Macaca fascicularis: one gene and its partners. The protein of the gene in region 1 purifies or fractionates together with the protein of each later gene. This does not show direct contact. Links are inferred from orthologs where the notes say so. Each region holds a gene or a part of one and is shown on either strand. Other genes may lie near its edges.

Region 1 (4,137 bases):
GTCTGACTCTTGTCTACTCACCAGCCTTGTCTGCCATCTTGCCGGGCAACCACAACAAATTTTCTTTGTTGCTGTCATTCACAACTACTAGTGGTGGCTGGGCACAGTGGCTCACGCCTGTAATCCCACCACTTTGAGAGGTCAAGGAGGGCAGATCACTTGCGGTCTGGAGTCTGACACCAAACTGGCCAACATGGTGAAACCCCGTCTCTACTGAAAATACATTTTTAGCCAGGCGTAGAGGCACACGCCTGTATATAATCCCAGCTACTCAAGAGGCTGAGGCAGGAGAATCGCTTGAACTTGGGAGGCGGGGGTTGCAGTGAGACAGCGCGTCTCTGCACTCTAGCCTGGGTGACAGAGTAAGACCTGCATCTCAAAAAAAAAAAAAAGAAAAAAGAAAAAAAAGAACTACTGGGCATCCCAAAGGAGCCCAGTCATCTCAGTGTTTGTGCCTCTGTGCATGCAATTTCCTCTGTCTGAAATGTTCTCACCCTTTCCTTCTTTGAGCCTTCTTCTACTCAACCTTTATAACTGAGCTCAAATGACACCTCCTTCAGGAGCTGACCTCCTCAATGCTCCTGGGGCACTCTGAACTACCCTACATCATTGTCCTGTCCTGGCTGTTGTTCTCATCTGTCCCCTTCCCTAAAGTACTGGGAGGAGGTTGAGGGAAAATGGGAGAGTACAGCTGATATGACTTGGCTTCTCCGGGTATCTGACACACAGATCAGGTACTCAGTAAATGTTTGTGGACTAACCGAATGAACCCACCAATTCTCAGGAGAAGCCAAGCCAGGCCTCCCAGACAGAAAAAGAACTTCAGACAACTCAAGTGGAAACCATGGCTCACCACTTTAGCCACCTGGCCTCCTTTTCCAATCTGGCGTTCCCAGAAAGCCATGAGCGCATCATGAAACCTCAAGTACTATCCTGGAATTTCGATCCCCGGTAGGTTTGGTGGGGTTTTTTTGTTTTTTTTCATTTTAATTGGAAAGCCTTTGGTTCTCTGTAAATTCAGAGTTATTTCACATTGTTAACTTGGAAGGCAAAGTGACAGCCACCGTTCTGGAGTATTTCCCAGCGATCAGACAGCATAACGGTTAACAGCGTGAACTCTGAAGTCTGGGTTCAAATGTACCACTTGCCAACTGGGTAACTTTGCATAAGTTACCCTACACTACTTCCCAATAAGACATATAAACTGGAGAACCTCTGGCCATTCATTAATACCAGCTGAACATCTACTGTGAGCCCGCTGCTAGCGATATAGTGGAGACCTGACCTTCCAATCTACAGTAAACTTCCATGGAGTCAAACTGTTCCATTTCCTACACAGCACTTAGCACTATCTGCAAAGATCACGTGTGCTGGTTTGCCTGTCCTCGTCGGAAGGTAAGCTCTATGAGAACAGAGGCCTTGTCTGTCTTGTTCATCCATCACCTCCCCAGGGCCTTCCACGTATCTGTAACGATGTTGTGTGCTGGTTTGTCTGTTCTCGTCGGAAGCTAAGCTCTCTGAGAGCAGAGGCCTTGTCTGTCTTGTTCATCCATCACCTCCCTAGTGCCTTCCACATCACTGGATACAAGCAAAAAGAAGGAATGAGCATGTCAGACCTTTTACCTCGTGGCCCTGGTGAAGGTAGGAAAAAAAAAAAAAAAAAAAAGAACAACATAGAAAACATAAAGGCACAAATTACAGAGATAATAGTGTCTGGGAGAAACCAGGGTCATGGTTTCCCACCACCGCAGGTGTTGCTCCAGGCAGCTCTGCGGAGCAAAAGGATCCCAGCACCTTGGCAGCCTCCCTCAGCTGCATCCAGGAGGCACCATGAGGGAGGCAGTGAACGGAAAATGGGACCAATCCCATCAGAAGGCCTGAGGAGGTTCATTTGTTGGTTCAACAGGTATTTCCTAGGCGTCTAATGTGTGCTGGGTACACAGCAGCAAACTGACAAGAGCCTGTCCTCATGCAGTTTCCTTTCTAGTGTTGAAACAGTGATTTTGAGTACGAAAAGTGCGGTGCTGACCACGAAACAGTGACAGAATGGGGACAGCAGGAGAGCAGGTGTGCACGGTGGGCTGGGTGGCCACAGCAGGCCTCTCTGGGCAGGTGATACCTCAACTAAACCCTGAGGTCAACACTGTCACAGAGCAGGGGAAGAACCTTCCAGGCAACAGCAGCGGCGGAGGTTCACACTAAAGTGATCACAAACTGGTCACTAAGTTACAAGGCAAAGTGACAAGTGCCTCGAAGGCAAGTCCCAGGAGGCTGGGGGTCGGGGAGGAGGCACAGGCCCTAGCTCCTGCACCAGTCCTCTAGGGTCCCGGCCGCTCCGCGCATTTCTGGGGCGCGCGCTGAGCGCCAAGGCCCGGCCCGGCCTCGCCGGCCCCCACGACAGCGCCGTCGGGGTGGGGACGAGGGCCGACGTCACCCGCCGCGCCGGACTCCGTCCCTCCAGCACTGGGGCGGGGGCCGCAAGCATGAAGGTGGCGGCCTCTGGGGCTTACCTCGGAACTTGAGCTCGTGCTGCGGCTCGAGGCTCAGGACCTGCTCCACCTTCGCCATGTTCCTCAGCGGCGGAGCACCTTTGGCGGGGAGACCCCTGAGAGGTCACCGGGGCGGGAAGCGTTAATGCCGCGCCCGCTTTAAGTTTTACAAAAAAGGGGGGACCAGTCGGGGCACGGGTGAGGGTCTTCGACGGGGTGCGCGCGCTGGGGGGGGTCGTTCTACGCGGTGCAGGCTCAGGGGCGGAGGGCGAGGGCGAGGCCGCGGTGCCCGGCGAGCTGACGGCACGCACGCACGCACGCACGCACGCACGCACGCACAGGCGTACACACGCACGCACGCAGCAGGCTGGCCCGCTCGGGCGGCGGGAAGCTGCGCCCTGCGCCGCCAGCTCCAGGGGCGGGGACTAAAGCTGCGCGCGTGGAGCCCCACCCGGGACAGTGCGCAGGCGCGGTACAAGCCACGGGGGCGGAACTGCAGGGCAGCAAGGGGCGGGGCTTCGCGCTGCTCAGGAGGCGGGGTTTGTAGTCCGGCTACGACTGCAGCCGCGAAAACTATTAAGGGTCCGCTGGGGGCCAGCCTCGTGTTAAATGCTTTATTCAGTAACAACAATTAGAATAAACTTCCACTTTTCTCTTGCTTATGTAGTGCCAGGCACTGTTAGAGACTTTGAATAATAGTCAAAGTACTTAGTATAAACATGATGTTTATGGGTGAGTGATATGGGCTAAGCACTGTGACGTCTTGTAAATAATAATTATAAATATAATAAACTACCAATTATTGCTTATTTCGTATCACTCTGCTGAATGCTTCCAATGACAACAGCAGCTACAATAAATACAAGCTACTCTACGTTAAATGTTTATTAGGCAACTGGCACTGTGCTGAATTTTTACTAGTAAATTCGATTTGTTTATGCAATAAATATTTAGAAATACAATGATCAGAAAAGCTAACCTGATTCCAATCCTTTTACTGTAGCCTAGTGAAGAGACATTTTGAATAAATAACCACACAAGTAAGTTAAATAATTAAAAATTGCTGGAGAATCCAGATCTGCTTGACCTCAAAAATGGATACTCTACATCATGATTACCGTTTAAATTGTATTTCATTATATCATGTTCACTGTGAAAGTAAAATAGGTGTTCTTAATAGTCTCCTATACATACCAATATAGGTGAAACAAACATGGCAAATTGCTAACAATGGCTGACTTGACATCGCAGGTACATGGTTTTCTTGTACTGTTTCTCCCACTTTTCTGTATACTTGAAATTTTTCATGATAAACAGGTTTCTTGGAAGAATAATCTTTGTATTTTAACTGTAGCATTTAGTCCATTTACATTTATTATATTTACTAATATATCTGGAATTATTTCTACCATCGTATTTTGTTATTTCTACTTGTCCTGCCTGTTTTGTTTTTCTTTTTTTTTTCCCCTTTCTTCTTTGGGGTTTATTTTTATTCTCATTCTTGTTTTCTTCACCTACATACTCTATTTCTAAGTTTTAGTGGTTACTTGAAAATTTTGGGCATGCATGCTTACCTTGTGAAAGTCCAGTATGTTTAAATATTTGTAAAAATGTCTTTACCCTGTTTCCTTAAAATATGAAGACTTCG
Region 2 (4,004 bases), on another chromosome or scaffold:
GATCTTTGTGTTCACATTAAAATATATTTTTTTGTTTTTACTTTTTGGAAAAATAACTTAAAGTCTGCTCAGAGACGACTCAATTTCTTCATTTAAAAAATGAGATAAGACACACTATTTTTAGATGGTATTTGTGACTTTCCAAATGGACAATGTAAAGTACTTTCAAAAACAGTGCTTTGTAAAAGAAACAGTTTATTCTATTTACTTTATGTACACATTCCATTTATTTCTTCAGCAAATATTTATGAAGCACTTACTAGCATGATCACAATTTCAGTAAATAGTTGAGTACAGTAGTCCCCCCTTTTATCCATGGGTTCATTTTCCACATTATTCATTTTAAGTATTAGTTATTGTTAATATTTCACTGTGCCTAATTTATAAATTGAACTTTATCATATGTATGTACAGGTAAAAATAAAACACGCATACACAGGTTTCAGTACTATCCATGGTTTCAGTCATCCACTGGGGGTCTTAGAACATATCCCCTTGGATTAAAGTGAACTACTGTAATTAATTTCTTACTGCCTGTATCAGTCACTAGAATTCTAACTTTCTGGGAAAAGGTATTTCTTCTCTTTTGTTCTCTAATGCTCAGCACCCTGCGTGGCTGGCATTTAAAAGGCTAACAAATATTTGTCGAATGGATGGATGAATGCATGAATGAAAAACCAAATGAATAATGAAAACATAAGAGTATAATACACTTTAACACGTACTATATTGGGCTTGCATAGTACTATGGAAATTTATAGCAGGAGCATTTAAAGCCAGCCTTGACGGGGCTAATCTCCGGAAGAGCAATTAATCTTTTCAAAATCCGACTCTTGCAGGATACAGTCCCCCACTGGCCTGCCACTAGTTTAAAACGAATTATTTTCTGTGAAACATCAAGATCGTGCCAATATTAGGGCATCAATAAGATTGGTTGAATGAGTCAAAGGCCTGCGCGGACAAGTCCAATTAGAACACCTCTGGCTAAAAGCCAGAATGAATGAAAGGGTTCATTCCTTGGTGTAGACGCAGAACTGGGACTGAAAATCTGCCCCAAGCCTCCACGTAGACTTTGGCTCCACCTGCAGCAGCAGCAGCGCCCTAGTCACGTGACCCGGGCCAGCCCTCCCTAGGCGCCTGGGCCAGCCTGCGCCTGCGCAGTACTCGGAGACAGCGGACCCGTGTCAGTGACAGCTTCCGGTTTGGTTTCTCCGCCTTCTGCTTGGCTAGAGCTATTGGGGCTCGGCGGCGGCCGCAGTGGGGTGGAGGGGGCAGGGCGTGGTGAGGTAAGGTGAGTGCCGTAGTGGGGTTCCCCGGAGCCATGGCCTGCTCCATTGTCCAGTTCTGCTACTTCCAGGACCTCCAGGCCGCCCGGGACTTCCTCTTTCCTCACCTGCGGGAGGAGATCCCCAGCGGCGCCTTGCGGAGGGACCCCAGTAAGTGCCTCTCACCTCTCCGTTCCTTCCCCCGTCACCCGCGGCCTCTGCTTGGAGGGTTCGGGTCTCCTACTCGCTCTGCGCCTCCTGCCTCTGCCCTCTGGACCCCCAGTTCTTCCCGTGCCTCCCCTCTGTTCCGGGATGAACCCCTGCCCACCTCGTCCTGAAGCCCCATTTGTGTTGTCTTCCTCTCGACCCAGCTATTCTCCTCAGCCCCTCTGATCCCTGGCCCAAAACTGCGTCTCGTTTCCTCTCGCCTCTGCCTATCACCACTTCCTCCCTCCCCCCTCCCCCCACATTCCTAGCTTTCTCTCTAAGTATCTTCTCCGTCTCCCATCTTCAGCCTGGGGTCGTCCCTTGTTTCATGTTGCCTGCTCCGTGATCGCATCCTCCCCGTTCCTTGCCACATGTCAGCGCTCCACTCTGGTATTGCCCCAGCGCCCACTCTTCCATCCCGGGGACTGTGGCCTTCTGCCACCTCCCGTTCCGAAAGTGTTGATCATCCCCCCACACTCTCCCTTCTTTCATCCGCGTTTCCCCCATTCAGATTTTGAGAACAAATGGCTGACTGACAAATGAGTGACTCTTAAGGTGGTAAGAGTCTCTCAAAGAAGGAAAATAACCTGTCGGGAAGTGAACGAGAATCTACATTAGGAACTAAAATTACAGTGACATAGCCAAGAAAGGTTAATTTGCTTTATTGGGATGAGAAGCCTTCCACCTATTTTTATCATCAAAGTGTTAAATAAGCCTTTCCCCACGTAGTATAAAGTTCCAAGGCTGGTTTCTTAGATACTACATAGGCTCTCAGAATTTCCTACATTTCATCTTTTGAAAGGGTGTGCCTTGTGTTTTATTTTATTTTATTTTTGCATTTCCAACATGAAGCACGTTTGGCTTTGTAGTACAGTGTTCTCACTCTGTGCTATGCCGGAACGGTGATATAAGGCCCACTAAGCTCTTCCCCCTTTAAAAAAAAATTTAGAAGATATCAAATCAAACCCATCTGTGAATGATTACATACTCTGTGCCAGTCATTGGTGCTACAAACCAAATAAGGTTGGTGGACCCTGCCTCTAGGAACTTATGGTTTACAGACAAATCACTAACTTCCATTCAATGTGATTGAGATAGATGTGAGGCATTTTCTTCAAGTGGTGATACTTAAGCCTACCTTTGAAGTACTAGTTAGAGGAGTAAAGGAGCGGTAATAGCATGTGCAGAGGAAGGACTGAAATGGCATGGTATTTAGAGAACTAAGAAAAGCTGAGTGGCTAGAGACGAGGATGGGAGAGGAAGAATTGGGGCAATGAGGCAGTAATAGTGATAAGGAGCTAGACCATGAGAAGCCCTGTGAAAGTTGTGGCGTTTCTCTGAAAGTTTAAGTAGAGAAATGACATTGTCAGATTTGTACTTAATGTAATCAACAACGTTTGTTGAAGACCCGTAATGTGCTCTGGTAGCAAAGTGGAGGAGAGATTGGAAGAAGGGAAATGGATTGGGAAGCTCTTCCAGTAATCCAAGCAAGAAATGATATGAGCTTGAATTAAGAACCTTAGCAGGATGAAGATGAAGGACTAGATTAGAAAGACATAAAGGAGTTAGAATCTGCAGGACCTTCTGAAGGTCTGGTGATGGGCATTGTAACTAGTAAATGAGGGGGAGTTTAGGAAGTCTTTGGCTTGTGGTTTGGACAAGTGTATATAATAAGAGAATAAAGGATACAGATTTTCAACCTTTTGCATTTTAAATGTTTACAGTATGTCCAAGTAAGGACATCTGGTTGAACACCAGATATAGATAGTCTAAACAGTAGGGAGTACTGGGCCAGAGACGTTAATTGGGGAGCTAACAGCAAAAACTGTAAATTCAGTCTCAAAGATTATGTATGTTGTGAAATGCACTGAGTACTAAAGCTGTAAACTTAGAGGAGCACTGGTGTTTAAAAGTCAAGTAGAGGTTACTGGGAAGAAGACTGCGAAGGAGTAAAAGAAAGAGGAAAATCAGGTGAGAGTAAGGCCCTTGGAGCTGAGGAAGGTGAGAACTTGATGAAGGTGAGGAATAGTCAGCAGTTTTGCAAATGCAGCAGAGGTCAGGTAAGAAAAGGATAGAAAAGTGCTCATTGGTTTTGGGAAGGTGGAAGTAACTGGGCCTTAGGACAGTTTCAGTAGGATAGTGGAGGCAGAAAGCATATTTATAGGATAAGGGGTTAAAAAGTGAAGTATACTATTTCAAGGAGCTTGGCTGTGAAGGATAGCAGATGCAGGATTGTAGATAGGGAATGTAGAAAAAAGGAACAAATTTTCTTTATCCCTCTACCACTCTCCTGGTCCAGGCCATGATCTTTTCTCAACCTGGGCTATGATATGATATGTCTTCTTCTAGCAGATCTTCCTGCTTTCACTCTTGGTTTCCCATAATAATTCTCAACAGTAGGTAGAGTGAGCTTTTAAGACATAATTTAGATCAAAACATTGCCTTTTTTCTTTTTCTTTTTTTTTTTTGATATGAGGTCTCACTCTGTTGCCCAAGCTGGAGTGCGGTGGCATGATCTTGGCTCACTGCAAC
Region 3 (3,223 bases), on another chromosome or scaffold:
TGGCCACCTTGCCCTCCCACCTTTATCACTGTTATAATTTTGTGTTCCTCTGGTGACTAATGACCACCTTTCTGTTCTGCTCTCTGAGGGCAGAAAGTGGGTCTATCTTATTCACGGCTGTATTCTCAGTGCCTTTCACACAGTAGAGCCCATGGCGAACAAGCAGCTCACCTCTGCAGAGGTGGGAGATGTGACATCTGTGCAAGAGGCTCTGTGGTTTCCCGTCTTCATTTCTTCTGATCCCCCGTGCCCTCTTGGTGTTTTTGCATGGCTAACTCTCCCTCCTCTCTCCCTGGAGGTGTGTTGAGGCTCCTGGAACACGGGGAGGAGTACGTATTCACCCTGCCTAGTGCCTACGCCCGGTCCATTCTCACCATCCCATGGGTGGAGCTCGGAGGAAAAGTCAGCATCAACTGTGCCAAGACTGGGTACTCAGCGACGGTGATATTCCACACGAAGCCTTTCTATGGAGGGAAAGTCCACAGGTAGGATCTGGCTGGAGAGGCTCTGGCTTTGTCTTAACACGATGCCCTGAGTTTCCTTTCACTATTAGAAGACTGAGTTTCAGTAATGGGATGAGTTGAAAATCAGGATAAAATTGTTAAGATCTGTTCCAAAAGAGATGCCTTTTCCCTACCTTACATGGCAGTTTTTTGGAGTCCTCCCTACTCTAAACTTAAGGTTAAATCTTTGGTGACGCATTTGCAGAGCAGATGCCAGAGAATAACAGCACTTCTGTTGGAATAAACTCTCCCTTCTGAAGCCACAGTTTGTTGCTTTGCTGTAAAGTGATTGAATCTTTGAACCCAGACATAGCCAGACAGTTCCCCATTTACATTAGTTGGCCACACTGTCCTCAATTCTGTGTCACGCATCCATGAGGTCAGGATCCTTTCTTTCTTTTGAAAAACTTGGGAAGCCCAAGTCTAAGTCATTGAAGGAGAGGTCTGCTGTTTGAGGAAGCACACAATTGTTTTCATTGCTGCAGCTATAAAAAAATTCCTCTTTCAGCACAGCTCTACTGCATAAGCAAGATATACTATACAAACAAGCTTCCATCTTTGCCCATTTTCTTGGAAAGCATTATTCTGCATGGCATTAGTGTGAGTGTGTCAGAGTGTCACAGGGGCATGTGGACACCCTTTGGGGGCACCTGGAACCAGCACACACCAGCTCGTGAGAACTGATTTGTGTGTATTTCACGTTCAGTGCTATCATATTGGTGTTGAAATCAGCCATGATAGGCATCACAGAAATTGGCAAATGGTACAAATCAGGTGTTTTCCCTTTTGGAGATCCAGTTGCTAAATATTTCCCAGCATGCCACTAACACCTTTCCACTGTGTGCAACCCAGAAGATGCCTCATACCTGCCTGTGAGCCTCGGCCTTGCTGACTGTTTTTAGGCTCAAGGAGAAAGCCTCCCAGTCTGTTTGGAAACTCTAAATTCGGCCTGAGCTGGGCCTTAAGGAAAAGGGGAGTTTAGACCCTACACGTGGCTGCTTTGGGGCAGGTATCCCCGTTTCTGCGGTGTTCCTTCAACTGCGCAGAAAGCTCAGTGGTGGAGAGGGAGCTGGGAGTCTGCTTTCACTTGGAATTCCCACAGGCAAGGCAGGTGGAAGAGAGGTCACAAATCTCCACAAAGGCCCTCTAAAGGAGAGGTTGAAGTCATTCCTCAGAGCCACTACTGTGAGTAGGAAGGTATTGATTGAGACTGAGACTCTAGGTTCTGCTCAGCCTTCATTCAGGGGATGTGTGGATGCTGGAGTGGATATTTCCCTCCTTTTCCAACGTAAGCTCTGTTGGGATTGTGGGCAACCATGTTTGACCCCATACAAAATAGACCTAATGATTTAAGGATTGAAAAGCTCACCCTACACTCTTACAGTCTTTTTAGGGTTAAAATGTAGCATTATTAGATGCTATTTTGGAGAAGAGAGAGTATATGCTATTTTGTTTTCCTTTTTTTAAAAAATTAATTTTTTGCATAAGTTATTGGGGTACAGATGGTATTTGGTTACATGAGTAAGTTCTTTAGTGGTGATTTGTGAGATTTTGGTGTACCCATCACCCAAGCTATAGATACTGCACCATATTTGTAGTCTTTTATCTCTCGTCCCCTTCCCACGTATTTTGTTTTTCTTGAATTGCCTGATTTTCATCCCAGTGATATCTTACAGAATATTACAGTTAAGAAATTAGCATTGCTGTATTACTATTAATTAGTCTATAGACTTTTTTTTTCCAGTGATGCTTTCTTTTGCTGTTCAAGGATATTAGATCATCTTTTAAGAGCTAGTCTTTGAGCAAAGCTCCAAAAACAATCCCTCCTTCCCATTCTTGATTAAAAAAAAAAAAAAATCTCTATAGATGGGTGTACCTTTGAAGTCTCTGTTTTTATCATTTTGCAAAGTGTGTTCATTTGACTCATTAATTCAGGGTTACCGCAGAAGTGAAGCACAACCCAACCAACACCATTGTTTGTAAAGCCCATGGGGAATGGAATGGTACTTTAGAGTTCACCTACAGCAATGGAGAAACCAAAGTCATCGACACAACCACACTGCCAGTGTATCCCAAGAAGATCAGACCTCTCGAGAAGCAGGGGCCTATGGAGTCCAGGTGAGAATTGGGCTGTCTTCCTCTCCAGCTTAGTCATGCTGGGCACTTGACTCAAGGGACAGAGAAGAAAGAAGACTTTGAAAGCTTAGCGACTGGAAACAGGCCAGGAATCATGTTCTCCTGGCTTCTTTAGATATTTTAGTTTTCTACTGTGTGTCACTTAGGAGCAGAACCTTTCAGCTTTCAGTTAAGTCATTCTGTAGTCATGGGGTGGGTGTGAGGATAGACTTCAGCAGACTTTTACTGCTTGTCTTGCAAAAGTTTGTCAACTGATCTGTTGCTTAATTGCAAAGGTAAATACAGAGAGTTGATAGTAATCAAAGAACTGCACAGTGAGTCAATGAGATACTATTTTTTTCTTGCCAGATTAACAATGTTTTAAAAAAAAATTAAATGCTGGGAAAGGTGTAGTAAAACTGACACTCTATACCCTGTCCTTCTAGTAGGAGTGTGTGCAGTTTAGCTGCATGGATCAGTAGCTTTCAATTCATTAATCCACTTTAATCTCATGTTCTACTTCTAAGAATCTGTTCTCAGGACAAACTCTTAAATTCAGAAAAAATTTAAACAACATAAAATGGTTTGTTCTTTGTTTAAAGAAA
Region 4 (3,500 bases), on another chromosome or scaffold:
GGCTGGTCTCGAACTTCTGACCTCAAGTGATCCACCTGCCTTGGTCTCCCCAAGTGCTGGGGTTACAGGCATGAACCACTGCACCTGGCCTCCAACTTGACTTTTTAACTAAAAGGTAATACATACTTCTACATTTTGATGCCTAAATTTCTATTTGTAGAAACAGAAGTTCCCCTGCCCCCTTCCCACTCCCATAGTACTGTATTAGGTTTCTTGTGTATTCTTCTCCATAGGTTATACAGATCCCTCTATGTATTATACATAGGTTTATTGTATATCCCTCTAGTCTTTTCTTTGTGTCTGTATAAATACTATGATTTTGAACTATAAAAAATATTTACAATATTGGAATCACATTAGACAAATTTCCTTTTTCCCTCAATAGCATATCATGGCCATTTTTTCATGTCAGAACATACAGCTGAATCTCATTCTTTTTATTAGGTCGTGGAACTCTAGCGTTTCTTTATTGATGGGCACTTAGTTACAAACTTTCTTCCATTGAAGGTAACACTACAGCGAACATCCTGTGCACTCATCATTGTGCCAGGTGGAAGTATTTCTGTGAATACATAACTGAAAGTGGGATTGCTGCGTCGGAGGGCGTGTACGCTTTAAGTTGTCCTGGTGACTACTGCATTGCCTGCCACAGGGCAGCGCCAGTTTCCAACCGCCCATTGGCACATGAGCCTGCCTGTCTCCTTGTATCTTGGCCCACACAGGACTATCCTTGTTAATTTTTGCCAATTCAATCAATTTTCAAAGCTTATCATTTTAATTTACATGCCTCTGATCACTAATGAGGCTTTAGCATCCTTTCATCAGTTTACTGGCTGTTCATCAACTGACATTTATGGTTTTTAAGAATGTCTTTCACTTCTCATTAATAAACTCATTCCCTGTAGGCCTGTGTCTCACAGATGTCAGTGGTTAGTATCCCGACTCTAGCTGTGATTGTCTCCGAAATTATCCAGTCCGCTTTTGTACTGGGCTATAAAAAAAAAAAAATCTAAGACTGTTGTAGAAACCATTTGCTGTGAGATACAAATTTTGAAGTTGTAAATTGAATTTTTATAAATTAAAATGGGATTATTTAGGTCACCGATTTTTGTGTTTTCTTTTATCATGCAGTCAATTCTTTGGGGGCTGTGCCTCCCAGATGTCAGTGGTTAGTATCCTGGCTTTGACTAGTGGCTAATCATGTGCTTTTTGTCTCTTTATTCCACCCAAACACCATAAACAGAGCCAATGAGGAGATTGCGCAGGTTCGAACAAAGGCAAAGGCTGAGAGTGCAGCTCTCCATGCTGGACTCCGGAAAGAGCAGATGAAGGTGGAGTCCCTGGAAAGGGCCCTACAGCAGAAGGTACAGAAAGGGGCCTGATCTGGGTGGCCACAGAGACGTTTGGTTTTCCTCCTCAGCAGTGACTCGCTTATGACAGATCTGGGTGAAAGAGGCCTTGGCTTTCTGCTCAGACACTTCAGTCCATCTCCTTTCTGAACTGATCCAGGTGGAAACAAGTCAAACCATTAAATTTACAAGCACATCATGCGGAAATCATCCGTAGGCAGGGTGCAGAGAGGAAGTTGCATTTTAACTGAAGTTCAGAACACCTTCCTAGTTGGGGTCTTGAGACTGCCTTTCTTTCTTTCTTTTTGTTTTTATGCAATATATTAATATGAAGCCATCTCTCCCTTCATTGCTTTAGATCAGTGGTTTGCAGTTGGGGGCAGTTTTGCCCTCCAGGGGGTGTTAGGTGTTAGGTAATGTGTGGAGATATATTTGTTTGGTTGTCACCACTGGGAGATGCTATTGGTATAAAGTGCAGGAGGCCAGGGATGCTGTTAAACATCCTGCAATGCACAGGACAGCCCCTGACAACACACTTATCCATCCTAAAACATCAGCAGTGCTGCTTTGAGAAACTGCTATAGATCAGTGAAAACCAGGACTAGCAACAATCCCTGTTTCTCACTAAGCAATTTTTAGCTTTCCATTTTTATATGTCTCCGGTGTATTTTCCTTACTGCGTTTCCAATTATGTACTCATACCTGTGCCATCCATTCATCAAGAGCAGGAGTTTTTATCACAGGGTCTGATAACCCCTAGAATGGTGCTCTGTAGGAGATTCAGACTCCAGCATCCCTGGAGATGCTAATGGATTGAGTGAGACCCAGATACTTATGTTTTTGACAAGTACCCCAGATAATTCCTCTGATAACAAGAGAATTGAGGAACTAAGAGATTCATGGACGAGTTTCAGAGGGTTGGTGACTGTCTTCACCCTTTACTCAATTTAAGCATGATTTTATGAGTACATTGTTTTTGAGATGTGTAGCCTTTTTTTCTTTAAAGCATCTCTGATGTAGAAAAGTTAAAAATCACTGAATTGGGGCCGGGCGCGGTGGCTCAAGCCTGTAATCCCAGCACTTTGGGAGGCCGAGACGGGCGGATCAGGAGGTCAGGAGATCGAGACCATCCTGGCTAACACGGTGAAACCCCGTCTCTACTAAAAAATACAAAAAAACTAGCCGGGCGAGGTGGCGGGCGCCTGTAGTCCCAGCTACTTGGGAGGCTGAGGCAGGAGAATGGCGGGAACCCGGGAGGCGGAGCTTGCAGTGAGCTGAGATCCGGCCACAGCACTCCAGCCTGGGCGACAGAGCGAGACTCTGTCTCAAAAAAAAAAAAAAAAAAAAAAATCACTGAATTGGGATGTCTAGGGTAGGGTATATCCAGACTTGGGACTAGTTAACTCTATTTGCCTTTATTTCAGAATACAAAGTGGCCTGCGTAATTGTGTCTTTTGTCTTTCAGAACCAAGAAATTGAAGAACTGACAAAAATCTGTGATGAGCTGATTGCAAAGCTGGGAAAGGCTGACTGAGACTCCCCCTGTTAGCTCAACAGATCTGCATTTGGCTGCTTCTCTTGTGACCACAATTATCTTGCCTTATCCAGGAATAATCGCCCCTTTGCAGAGAAAAAAAAAAAAACTTAAAAAAAGCACATGTCTACTGCTGCCTGTCCCGCTTTGCTGCCAATGCAACAGCCCTGGAAGAAACCCTAGAGGGTTGCGTAGTCTAGAAAGGAGTGTGACCTGACAGTGCCGGAGCCTTCCAGTTCCCCATATGAAGGTTCCATTAGGCTGCTGAGTTTGGGTTTGTGATTTCTTTATGTTTAGTTTGTTTTAAAGTCATCTTTACTTTCCCAAATGTGTTAAAATTTGTAGCTCCTCTTTGGGGTCTTCTACACCACCTGTCTGATTTTTTTTTGTGTGATCTATTTAATCTTTTAATTTTTTAATATCAGTGGTTTTATTTAAGGAGACAATTTGGCCTATTGTTACTTCCAGTTTATAATCAAGAAGGGGCTCTGGGTCCCCTTTTATTAAACACACTCTCACACACATACATGTATATTTATAGATGCTGCTACTCTTTTCCCTGAAGCATAGTCAAGTAAGAACTTGTCTGCAGAAGGACATATTTCCTTCGATGTGAG
Region 5 (3,500 bases), on another chromosome or scaffold:
CATTTATTCATGGAGGCTACCTGTAGGAGAATGCTACACTGTCAATACTACTTGCAAAACAGAAAGCAACAGAAGAAGTTTTCTTATTGAATGATGTACCCACATTTTTTCCCCAGTAAGATCCCTTTAATACTAACTCAGTCAGAAGGCAGCAAAACACAGTGTTAAGAACATGGTTTCAGCAGACAGGCTGTGTTCCAAACTCAGCCCCCTCACATACTAGCTGTCGACTGGCTTTTCCAGTTTAGAAGAAAACAGTTACAATCCTAATTCACACAATATACAAAAATAAATGTAGGCAGATTAAAAATCTAAATGTTAAAAAAGTAAATATTTCAGGAAGATAGTTTTATCTTTTTGGGATGGAGAAGACCTTCCCAAGTAAAACACCAAACCCAGTCAAACCAAAAAGGAAAAATATAGTCTGTTAAAATTGTCAACTTCTTTGGGGGCCAAAGAAACCATAATTAATGTTGGAAAAAAATGTGTAGCACATATAACAAAGAACTTCTACAAATCATTAAGACAGAACCATGTATAGGAAAATGTGATTCTCAGAAGAAATATAGTCACAAAACATTTGGAAAGATGCTCAACTTCACTAGTATTTAAAGAAATACAAAGTAAAATGAGAGTAATCTGGCAATATCTTTGAACATTTACTGTTGAGATTTTCTTTTATATGGACTTGCAGATAGTGAACTTAGCAATTGTACGTGTGGTCATTTGTTTTTACAGACTGGCTTTTTCTTTACTCTGATTTTATCAGGCAGCATTAGATGAAACATCTTAAAAGACTCAGATTATTTTCAGTTTTATCAGAAGTACAATCAAACTGAAAGTTTGGTGGAAGTCCACCTTTCTGCATTTTCCAGGCTAACATCCTCGAGGGAGATCTCACCCAGGCTATTCCACTGACCAGCCACCTCACCTTGGGTCAGCTTGGGCTCTGGGTTCAGATTTTACTTCTTAAAAGCAGGGGCTAGGAGGTGAGGTAATCTTTCAGGTCTTTTCTTGTTCTATGACTCAGTCATTAGAATAGTCTTACACAAGTGTTTAGTATTTATCCTCTTTAGAGTCTCTAAGTTCAAGGTTTGATTTAAGTGTGATTCCTATCAAATCACCTTCCACCTTTCTCTGCCAGTAAATACTTGAATAAGCTGAACTCCTTCCCAGCCAGTGGCAATCCCTTTCAAGGCAAGCCACACACGCACAGAAATGCTTCTCATGCTGCTATTCTTTTTTTTTTTTTTTTTTTTTTTTTAGGTAGACACAAGGTTCTCCAGGCCACCTTTAAAGTTTACATTGAAGGCAAGAAATCATAGGTCCTCATGTGGAATTGGGAAAAAACACGGAGGTGGGAGAGCTGTGGTCTCATTTTCATGTCAAGTAAGTTTACAGGGACTGATGGGAGAGGAAGGAGGGTGCTTTGTGCCCCTGTCCTAACCAAGCTCCACTCTGTCCCCGTCTCTGAGGGGTCTCCCTTCTGGTGCTCCCGTCCCAACTCTCCTGCCTCGCTGTGGTGCACATATTCATTTTCTTCCACACATCCCCTTTCTTCTTGTTTGGGAGAAGACTCCAGAAACAGCCAACACAGCCTCCGATGAGAACCCCTGTGCCTGCACATGGGTACCATCAAAGCAGCAAATGTCCTGAAAGCTTTTTGCACTGTAGGTTACTTTGTAGGCAAGGCCCGCAGAGACATTAACCCTGGAAGATGACTTGAAAAATGCTAAAGAAATATGATAAATTTATATCTTTGCAGAATAACATTTCTAGTACTATTACTATTCTTATTTCTATTCATTAGCTATACTGTTATTTTTGTTCACGTTTTCTAATGAATCCCAACTTACATCCATAAGCTGTTAACAGCTCTTCTGATGTTGGAGGTCGGTGGGGATCTTCATCTTCTCTAGGCTTTATGATATTAATGCCATAGGTAGCTTCTAAAACATGTCTTGGAATATTCTGGCAAACGTAGCTTGTCAGGGAATCCACTCTCTTGAACTGCCTCTCTCCTCCCCAAGGCATACGGAACGTGCCTCTAAGAGCATGGCACTTCATCACTTGTACGACAAACACTCTTTCTCCTCTCCAAAGGAAGAGTATAGTTATCGATTAATTTTAAAAGACTCAGTTTTTTTTTCCTTTTAAACAAGGCCTTAAGCTCCCATGACTCTTCCATATGAATTCTTTTAAAATAATAATTTAAAATATCTCTGAAACTGACTTTAAAGATGACACATTTAGCCGGGCGCGGTGGCTCACGCCTGTAATCCCAGCACTTTGGGAGGCGGAGGCGGGCGGATCACGAGGTCAGGAGATCGAGACCATCCTGGCTAACACGGTGAAACCCCGTCACTACTAAAAATACAAAAAATTAGCCGGGCGCGGTGGTGGGCGCCTGTAGTCCCAGCTACTCGGGAGGCTGAGGCAGGAGAATGGCGTGAACCCGGGAGGCGGAGCTTGCAGTGAGCCGAGATCGCGCCACTGCACTCCAGCCTGGGCGACAGAGCGAGACTCCGTCTCAAAAAAAAAAATAAATAAAAAAAAAATAAAGATGACACATTTTTACCCTGAAAAGTAGATTATGCATTTGTGATTCTAATGTAGAGATAAAGCAAGGGGAGTCTGTTTCTAATGTCTACAATTATGCAGGATTACTTTTCCTCCTTTGTCTCATCTCTCATAGTTTGTCTGAATTTTCCTTAAGCCACTAACAATATTCTACTTGTACTACAGTTATTCACGTACATACCTCACGTGTCCCCAACAGATTGATGCTTCGTATAGGGCAGTAGCCATCTCTATTTATGCCCTATCCTCCATAGTACCTAACCTAAGGCTACCGGCAATAAATAATTCATGTCTCACTATTAATTTACTGAGAAACTTAAAAGGCCGGGCTCACGCCTGTAATCCCAGCACTTTGGGAGGTCAACGCAGGCAGATTATTTGAGGTCAAGAGTTTGAGAGCAGCCTAGTCACCATGGTGAAACCCCATCTCTGCTGAACAACAACAACAAAATTAACTGGGCATGGTGGTGCACACCTGTAATCCCAGCTACTCGGGAGGCTGAGGCAGGAGAATTGCTTGAACCCAGGAAGTGGAGGTTGCAGAGAGCCGAGATTGCACCACTACACTCTAGCCTGGGTGACAGAGTGAGACTCCATCTCAAAAATAAAAAAAGCTATATACTTTTTCATATATATGTATCTATGAATAAGCTGTGGCCTTAAGTGTAGTTATGAAGGAAATTTTACCCTACTTACAAGCCAGCGGATTAGTGTGCCAATTTCATGATGTCTCCTGTTTTCTGCTAGTATCTATAAAACAGTAACAGACTAACTTGTTAGCTTGTAAGTACAGTAAAATCTCAGACCTTGCGCAGTTTTTCCCTTTCGTTTTCTTTTTTCTTCAGGAGTCTCGCTTTGGCACCCAAGCTGGAGGGCAGTGGCACCATCTCAGCTCACTGCAACCTCTGCCTCCCAGGTTC
Region 6 (4,042 bases), on another chromosome or scaffold:
TGAGGCGGCTCAGAGAGGGTCTTGCAGGGGATCCACAGTGGCAGAGGGGCTATAAATGGGTCTTTGGGACCCTCAAAGCAGGGCTCCCCTGCTGGGACCACCTCCCCTCTCTGGCCCTGGGGCAGGGGAGGGATGCAAATATGTGTGCCTGTCCCCCCAGGGCCACTATGTTCAGTAGCATAAAGCCCTTGGGGGGGCCTGTATGGCAGAGTGTAGGACTTCAGGCTTGAGGGGTCAGTGATGGGGACCACAAGGATGCTGGGCCTAGGAGGCCAGTCATTGTCCAGGGCAGTGGACTCAGAAGCAAGGAGTCCTGATGGGCCATGAATGGTGGAGAAGGCCTTGGAGGAGGAGGATTTGAGGGCGCAAGGCCTAGAGATGTCACCAGCCTACCGAAGCAGCATCCTTAAGGGCCCCAAACCAGCCCCATCCAGATCCAGAGCAAGTATGGGGGATGGGAGGAAGGGCTGGGCCTGGTGCCTGGCAGACTGGCTGCTGCACGCGATGGGGTGGGGGCCGTTTGTTGGGCCAGGTTTAATGGGCTTTGCTGTCCCACTCTCAAAGCCTGCCTTCAGATGTGGTCTCCACGCTCCCCATAACCAGGGTCCCAACCCCAGGGGACGCTCAGCAGAGAGCTGGGCCTGACCCCAGCCCACAGCTGCCCTCTTGGCCCCTCCCTGCCCTAGGGTTCAGGTCGGGTGCTGCCCGCCACGCAGAAGCAGTCCGGGGACCCCTCCCAGAGGGGATCAGGGCTCAGGACTGAGAACTAGGTACCTGCTCAGGAAAGGCCAGAGGTTGTATCAGTCAGTGCTCTATCCCTGCCTGGGGGCTCCCAGTCCACTACCCTAGACCTATTTCCACAACTGGACAGCTGGAAATCTACACAGCCGCACGGACTTCCCGCCACACCGGCGAAACTGGGCACAGCCAGGGTTGATCCAGGATCACCAACAGACCCTGGGGGCACAGGGGGTGCCAAGGCTGTTGACCCGCTGTGTGACCTCAGGAAGAACACTGTCCCTCTCTGGGCTGGGTGTTCCAGGAGCTCTTGGGCTTAGGCCTCTGAGCTTTTCGGAATTCGGGCACCAGGGGACAGTGGGCAGTGCGCCCACCCCAGGTCTGTCTGCCTGTGGAGGGGTGAATCAGCTTCCGGCCCCGCCCCGGGCGGCACGTGACTGCAGGTGGCGACGGTGGGGTGGGCGGGGCGGCCCTGAGTCACCAGTGCTCCCCCGCCCGGCCTCGCGCCGCCGCCGCCGCCGCCGCCGCCGCTGCGTGTGCGCCGCGCTCCGCCCGTGCCCACTCGGTAAGCAAGTCACAGCCGCGCCCCCGGGATCCCGGGTCTTGCGGGGCGCCGCCGCCCCACAACCGCACTTTTGGCTCTCCTGGACCCCTCCCAGAGCCCCGTCCTCTTCAGGGCAGGCCTCCAGGGTTGCCGGCACCTGGGAATTTTAAGACCTCTCCCTTACCCGGAAGCCCTCGGTTTGCGGGGCGCCGCTGTGCCGGGGCCGCCTCCCACTCTAAGAAGCTACTGGGAAGTTCCCCGGCTGCCCTAGTTTCCCTCAGAAGTTGCCAGGACTTCAGGCAAGTCCTGGGATGTGGGTTCCCTGTCCCCTGCACATAGAGGCACGCTGAGCCCTGGGACGTGGCCCACAGCTCTCTCCCTGCTGTTACGATCCCTTACTTTCTTCCCATCCTCGTCCAGTGCCCCCACCTCATCTTCCCAGTCCCAGCCCCAGCCCCGTCCTTCCCACGCCCACCTGAGTTCCCGGCCCCGCCCCCCGCCGCCCCTTCCCGCGCGGCCCGCCCTCCGCGCCGAGCCGGGCTCATCAGGTCTTTCCCGCAGGTTGCTCATGGGCAGAGGAGCAGAGGCTGCGGAGAGGCCCCCGAGCGCGCGGTGCCCCAGCCGGGCCGGAGCTAGGAGCCGGACCTTGCCCACCTACCCGCGGCAGCAGTGCCCGGGCAGGCGGCACCATGGCCTTCTCCCAGGTGCAGTGTCTGGACGACAACCATGTGAACTGGCGCTCCAGCGAGTCCAAGCCCGAGTTCTTCTACAGCGAGGAGCAGCGGCTGGCGCTGGAGGCCCTCGTGGCCCGCGGCCGGGACGCCTTCTACGAGGTGCTCAAGCGGGAGAACATCCGAGACTTCCTCTCGGAGCTGGAGCTCAAGCGCATCCTGGAGACCATCGAGGTGTACGACCCGGGCTCCGAGGACCCTCGGGGCACGGACCCCTCCCAGGGGCCCGAGGACCACCGGGTCGGCGACGGAGAGGAAGCCAGCGGGGCGGATGGGGTCCCCACCGAGGCTGAGCCGCTGCCCTCCCTGGAGTACTGGCCCCAGAAGTCGGACCGCTCCATCCCGCAGCTGGACCTGGGCTGGCCCGACACCATCGCCTACCGCGGCGTGACCCGGGCCAGCGTCTACATGCAGCCCCCCATAGACGGGCAGGCCCACATCAAAGAGGTGGTGCGGAAGATGATCAGCCAGGCACAGAAGGTGAGGCAGCGTGGGGACTCTGGGAGCCAAGGTCCAACCAGCGACCGGACCCCTCAATACAGGCTCACTCAGAGCCCCAAACGGGAGCCCAACATGGCCTTCTAGGGATTTCTGCTGTTTCCCTGGCTGCCTCCTAGGTGGAGGTTTCCTCCCCACCTTTGTGGGGATCCGCAGTTTCCTTGCAGGATAGGGTTCCCAGGTCCTAGCCGGTGACAGTGGGCTGCCCTGTCTCAAAGGGCCTCTGTATTGTTGCGGGGTGTTTCTGGTTCCCCAGAAGAAGGGACCAAGATAGGGTGGAGTGGGGAGGGGAGGAACCCCAGGGCTTCCTCTCACTTTCCCTTAGAGTGTCTCCGATTGGCTGCGAAGGCCCCCACACACCGTGAGCTCTCTGGTGGGGAGAGCTTTTGTTGCGGGGTGAGGGGATAGGCATGGTCCGAGTCCATCTGAGACTGGCCTGGAGGTCCTGGTTCAACACTGCCTGTTTCCTAGCTGTGCTGAGCAACTGGGAGCAGATTGCGCACCCTCTCTGAGTCTCTTTGTGAGCTTTGCAATGGTGGAAACTTTCCAGGCCAGGATGCACGGGTGAGGACAAAGCCTTCTTTGGCCCTCCCATTCTCCACCCCTTTTGGGCTATGCAGTGCCCTAGCTGTGGGGGCCATTCTTGGCTGACACACCATCACACATTCTCAGAAGGGGTGCTTGCCACTTGCAGAGATAGCTAGGCCACTGCTGGACAGCTGTGACCATGAGCAGGTGCTAATGCCTGCTGCACGTAAGTACCTTCTCATCATTGCCAAGCACATCTTGACTTGATAAATAAAGCTTACCTAGTGAGCTATGTTGAGAAGGGGATTCTGAAGTCAGATCTGGGCCTCAGGTTGTGGGATGAGGTCTTCCTTGCTGGGTCTAATCCCTTTATACTTCCAATCCCAGAGCAGAGCAGCCAATTGCACAAGACCAGAATGCTGGCTTCAGAGACCATCCTGGCTAACTGACAGGGCCTTGGGGAAGTTTGTAGGCAGAGAAACCAGAAGTGGGTCAAGAACTGATGAGGTGACCCCGGTGGCTCCTGGCCCTGGCTCCAGTTTCCAGGAAGGTGGAGTCCCTGCCCAACAAGGGGACCAGCTGGGTCAGCTAGCTGGGTCGGGGTGCCTGGTCCCCAGCCTGACTGCTCTCAATTCACTGACTGACCCTGGGCAACTTTGAGGCTTCGGGTTTTTGGTCTGTAAGATGGAGGTGGTGCAGATAAAAGCTGCATCTTTGGCTATTGTGAAGATGGAATATCGGGTGACAAAAGTAAGGAAGGAGTTAGAGGAAGAGGAGGAGGAGGGGGAGGAGGAAGGGACTTTCATAGTTTGCAGGCTGAGAGACCCGCCCCACACCTGCCATGGTGTGTGGGAAGTGCTGCTGACGTCTGTGACTGGTGGAGATGACTGGCTGGAGGCTAGAGAACCCAGTCTTCACAGAGAGCCTGCTGGGATCCCATTACCCAGCCTCCACTTCCATCTTGAAAACAGAGAAACCGAGGCCCTGGGTAGGGGGACTTGCT
Region 7 (3,500 bases), on another chromosome or scaffold:
CCTGGGGCATTGGCCCTGCCATGGCGTTCCGGAGGGCTGAGGGCACGTCCATGATCCAGGCCCTGGCCATGACGGTGGCTGAGATCCCCGTGTTCCTGTACACGACGTTTGGGCAGGTAAGGATCGGAGTGAGTTGTATTTCTTGTCTGTGAAACACTTCCATGCTCAGCCCAGGGCTCCTCCGTGTCCAGGAACACTGAGCCCTCGTTCTTGCTTTGCCAGACCTCTGGTGTCTCCTCTTTGTACTGGGTTTGTTGTCTGAGGCTTCAGGCCTGTTCTTTAGCCTAAGACTATATGAACTCTTTTTTTTTTTTAAATTAATTAAAAAAATTGTTTTGGCCAGGTGCGGTGGTTCATGCTTGTAATCCCAGCACTTTGGGAGGCCGAGACGGGCGGATCACCTGAGGTCAGGAGTTCGAGACCAGCTTGGCCAATGTGGTGAAACCCTGTCTCTACTAAAAATACAAAAATTAGCCAAGCGTGGTGGTGTGTGCCTGTAGTCCCAGCTACCTGGGAAGCTGAGACAGGAGAATTGCTTGAACCCAGGAGGTGGAAGTTGCCGTGAGCTGAGATCATGCCACTATACTCCAGCCTGGGCAACAGAGGAAGACACTGTCTCAAAAAAAAAAAATGGCCGGGCGCGGTGGCTTAAGCCTGTAATCCCAGCACTTTGGGAGGCCGAGACGGGCGGATCACAAGGTCAGGAGATCGAGACCATCCTGGCTAACACGGTGAAACCCCGTCTCTACTAAAAAATACAAAAAACTAGCCGGGCGAGGTGGCGGGCGCCTGTGGTCCCAGCTACTCCGGAGGCTGAGGCAGGAGAATGGCGTAAACCCGGGAGGCGGAGCTTGCAGTGAGATGAGATCCGGCCACTGCACTCCAGCCTGGGCGACAGAGCCAGACTCAGTCTCAAAAAAAAAAAAAAAAAAAAAATTTAGCTGGGCCTGGTGGCAGGTGCCTGTAATCCCAGCTACTTGGGAGGCTGCGGCGGGAGGATCACTTGAACCCAGGAGGCGGAGGTTGCAGTGAGCCGAGATCACACCACTGCAGTCCAACCTGGGCAACAGAGTAAGACTCCGTCTCAACAACAACAACAAAAGTTTTTTGTGGTAGAAATAGGGCCTTGCTATGTTGCCCAGGCTGGTCTTGAACTCTTGGGCTCAAGTCATCCACCCACCTTGGCCTCCTAAAGTGCTGGGATTGTAGGCATGAGCCACGGCACCTGGTCCTATATGAACTCTTGACCACAGTTACTCAGTCTGTAAAAGAGGTCAGTGCCCCCCACCGACAACTCACATGTTTGTGGCTGACTGGGCTCTTGACCAAAGATCTGCCCTGGGGGTTGCAGTCCCACCTGAGGGGCTCCCAGGCCCAGAGGGCAGAGGGTGACGTGCAGCAGTAGGAAGTGTTCAGATGGGGTGGCAGGTGAGTGAGTGTCATCGTCTTTGAGGCATCGCTGAGAAACAGGGGTCAGCGGATCTGGGTTTCATGTCTGCCTCTGTCGCCTTGAGCGTGTGTCTTCACCTGGGTGAGCCTCAGGTTCCTCGTCTGGAAATGACAGGGACTCAGATGGGTACCCCAGGCTAGGTCCTAGTGCAGTGCCAGGCACAGCTGGTGCTTGCTCACTGCAGCTCATTGTCATCATGACTGAGGGTGCTGGCCCTTAGACCTCACCTCCTCAGCACTGGCATCTTGCCATCTTTACGTTTTTGTGGTCCGTGTTTCAGGGAGGCTGGTCAAGTTCCCTGTGTAGGGCAGCTGCCTCTCAGTCTCTCGTCTGGTTGGCAGATGTGCCAGAGGGCCGGTGTATGTCCTGTCCCTGGGGTGCTCTGGGGCAGTCCTGCTGCCTTGGACCCAGGGAGGTGTAACCGGCAGCGTCTCCTCTTCCCTGCAGTCTGCATTTTCCCAGCTACGGTTGACGCCAGGCCTGCGGAAAGTCCTCTTTGCCACGGCCCTGGGGACTGTGGCCCTGGCCCTGGCTGCCCACCAGCTGAAGAGGCGACGGAGGAGGAAGAAGCAGGCTGGTCCCGAGATGGGAGGGGAGCAGCTGGGCACGGTGCCCCTCCCTATCCTCTTGGCCAGGAAGGTCCCTTCAGTGAAGAAAGGTAGGTGTGAGGTGGTGGGCATGGGCCTGTCCTGGGGTCACATCCTGGGGTCATATCCCAGCTGGGTCATTCTCTACCTGGGGATCTTGGGCCAGTGACTTCCTGTCTCAGAGCCAAGGTCTCATCCGTGAGCAGGATGACAGTAGCATCCCTTCCTCTAGTCACTGAACTGGAGGGTGATGCGGTTGGATGCGTGTGCTCTGTTGGTGGTGGTGGTTTTGGTTGTTCTCATTGGCTGAGGACCCTTTGGGAGCACCCAGGTCCGGAGTGGGTTGGGGGTGTGGCTTCTGGGTCCAGAGAGGGATGTTCCCCAGGCTGAGGTGCAGGAAGGGCCATGTTGTTCTTGAACCACGCGGTATTCCTCCCATCCCCTTCTCTCTTCAAAATTGAGGTTTAGGCCGGGCGCGGTGGCTCACGCCTGTAATCCCAGCCCTTTGGGAGGCCGAGGTGGGCGGGTCACGAGGTCAGGAGATCGAGACCATCCTGGCTAACACGGTGAAACCCCATCTCTACTAAAAATACAAAAAATTAGCCGGGCGTGGTGGCGGGCACCTGTAGTCCCAGCTACTTGGGAGGCTGAGGCAGGAGGATGGCGTGAACCTGGGAGGCGGAGCTTGCAGTGAGCTGAGATCATACCACTGTACTCCAGCCTGGGTAACAGAGCGAGACTCCGTCTCAAAAAAAAAAAAAAAAAAAAAAAAAAAATTGAGATTTAATTTGCATGTAGTAAGATTCATACTTTTTAGCATGCTATTCTTTGGACTTTGACACAGAGTCATCCAACCACCACCATAGTTAGGAATCATTCAGCTGGTTAGAAGGTAGTGAGTTCACTCAGTCGGTTGCTCACACTCACAGATCATACTCCTTCTATTCTCTTTTTTTTTTTTTTTGAGACGGAGTATTGCTCTGCCACCCAGGCTGGAGGGCAGTGGCACAATCTCGGTTCACTGCAGCCTCAGCCTCCCAGGTTCAAGCGATTCTCCTGCTTCAGCCTCTTGAGAAGCTGGGACTACAGGCATGTGCCACCATGCCTGGCTAATTATTGTATTTTTAGTAGAGATGGGATTTCGCCATGTTGGCCAGGCTGTTCTCGAACTCTTGAGCTCAAGTGATCCCTCTGCCTCAACCTCCCAAAGTGCTAGGATTACAGGTGTGAGCCACTGCGTCTGGCCGTCCTTCTACTCTTTTTTTTGAGACGGAGTCTCACACTGTCGCCCAGGCTGGAGTGCTGTGGCACAATCTTGGCTCACTGTAACCTCCGCATCCTGGGTTCAAGGGATTCTCCTGCCTCAGCCTCCTGAGTAGCTGGGATTACGGGTGCGTGCCACCATGCCTGGCTAATTTTTTGCATTTTTAGTAGAGATGGGGTTTCACTGTTTAGCCAGGATG

The links.
Region 2: the proteins of VAPB (region 1) and RAB3GAP2 purify together in Homo sapiens (affinity purification with mass spectrometry; 4 studies listed by BioGRID and IntAct, counting the BioPlex papers as one, with this or other methods). This does not show direct contact. The link is inferred for Macaca fascicularis from reciprocal best matches to the Homo sapiens genes VAPB and RAB3GAP2.
Region 3: the proteins of VAPB (region 1) and OSBPL10 purify together in Homo sapiens (affinity purification with mass spectrometry; 4 studies listed by BioGRID and IntAct, counting the BioPlex papers as one, with this or other methods). This does not show direct contact. The link is inferred for Macaca fascicularis from reciprocal best matches to the Homo sapiens genes VAPB and OSBPL10.
Region 4: the proteins of VAPB (region 1) and TACC1 purify together in Homo sapiens (affinity purification with mass spectrometry; 3 studies listed by BioGRID and IntAct, counting the BioPlex papers as one, with this or other methods). This does not show direct contact. The link is inferred for Macaca fascicularis from reciprocal best matches to the Homo sapiens genes VAPB and TACC1.
Region 5: the proteins of VAPB (region 1) and LSG1 purify together in Homo sapiens (affinity purification with mass spectrometry; 3 studies listed by BioGRID and IntAct, counting the BioPlex papers as one, with this or other methods). This does not show direct contact. The link is inferred for Macaca fascicularis from reciprocal best matches to the Homo sapiens genes VAPB and LSG1.
Region 6: the proteins of VAPB (region 1) and FAM83G purify together in Homo sapiens (affinity purification with mass spectrometry; 3 studies listed by BioGRID and IntAct, counting the BioPlex papers as one, with this or other methods). This does not show direct contact. The link is inferred for Macaca fascicularis from reciprocal best matches to the Homo sapiens genes VAPB and FAM83G.
Region 7: the proteins of VAPB (region 1) and MIGA2 purify together in Homo sapiens (affinity purification with mass spectrometry; 3 studies listed by BioGRID and IntAct, counting the BioPlex papers as one, with this or other methods). This does not show direct contact. The link is inferred for Macaca fascicularis from reciprocal best matches to the Homo sapiens genes VAPB and MIGA2.

The regions. Positions count from the first base shown.
Region 1 is NC_088384.1:114,456,127-114,460,263, reverse strand, and holds the start of VAPB (vesicle-associated membrane protein-associated protein B/C), read right to left. Parts: upstream 2,801-4,137; 5' UTR 2,569-2,800; coding exon 2,511-2,568; intron 1-2,510. UniProt on the Homo sapiens protein: Endoplasmic reticulum (ER)-anchored protein that mediates the formation of contact sites between the ER and endosomes via interaction with FFAT motif-containing proteins such as STARD3 or WDR44.
Region 2 is NC_088375.1:78,165,834-78,169,837, reverse strand, and holds the start of RAB3GAP2 (rab3 GTPase-activating protein non-catalytic subunit), read left to right. Parts: upstream 1-1,204; 5' UTR 1,205-1,321; coding exon 1,322-1,436; intron 1,437-3,920; exon of another isoform or gene 3,921-4,004. UniProt on the Homo sapiens protein: Regulatory subunit of the Rab3 GTPase-activating (Rab3GAP) complex composed of RAB3GAP1 and RAB3GAP2, which has GTPase-activating protein (GAP) activity towards various Rab3 subfamily members (RAB3A, RAB3B, RAB3C and RAB3D), RAB5A and RAB43, and guanine nucleotide exchange factor (GEF) activity towards RAB18.
Region 3 is NC_088376.1:16,732,947-16,736,169, forward strand, and holds part of OSBPL10 (oxysterol-binding protein-related protein 10), read left to right. Parts: intron 1-298; coding exon 299-485; intron 486-2,438; coding exon 2,439-2,621; intron 2,622-3,223. UniProt on the Homo sapiens protein: Probable lipid transporter involved in lipid countertransport between the endoplasmic reticulum and the plasma membrane.
Region 4 is NC_088382.1:42,248,439-42,251,938, forward strand, and holds part of TACC1 (transforming acidic coiled-coil-containing protein 1), read left to right. Parts: intron 1-1,243; coding exon 1,244-1,364; intron 1,365-2,814; coding exon 2,815-2,883; 3' UTR 2,884-3,500. UniProt on the Homo sapiens protein: Involved in transcription regulation induced by nuclear receptors, including in T3 thyroid hormone and all-trans retinoic acid pathways. Might promote the nuclear localization of the receptors.
Region 5 is NC_088376.1:3,984,132-3,987,631, reverse strand, and holds part of LSG1 (large subunit GTPase 1 homolog), read right to left. Parts: exon of another isoform or gene 3,277-3,500; intron 2,096-3,276; exon of another isoform or gene 1,981-2,095; coding exon 1,857-1,980; intron 1-1,856. UniProt on the Homo sapiens protein: Functions as a GTPase. May act by mediating the release of NMD3 from the 60S ribosomal subunit after export into the cytoplasm during the 60S ribosomal subunit maturation.
Region 6 is NC_088390.1:18,837,443-18,841,484, reverse strand, and holds the start of FAM83G (protein FAM83G), read left to right. Parts: upstream 1-1,242; 5' UTR 1,243-1,303; intron 1,304-1,843; 5' UTR 1,844-1,971; coding exon 1,972-2,493; intron 2,494-4,042. UniProt on the Homo sapiens protein: Substrate for type I BMP receptor kinase involved in regulation of some target genes of the BMP signaling pathway. Also regulates the expression of several non-BMP target genes, suggesting a role in other signaling pathways.
Region 7 is NC_088389.1:14,906,465-14,909,964, reverse strand, and holds part of MIGA2 (mitoguardin 2), read left to right. Parts: coding exon 1-116; intron 117-1,897; coding exon 1,898-2,108; intron 2,109-3,500. UniProt on the Homo sapiens protein: Regulator of mitochondrial fusion: acts by forming homo- and heterodimers at the mitochondrial outer membrane and facilitating the formation of PLD6/MitoPLD dimers. May act by regulating phospholipid metabolism via PLD6/MitoPLD.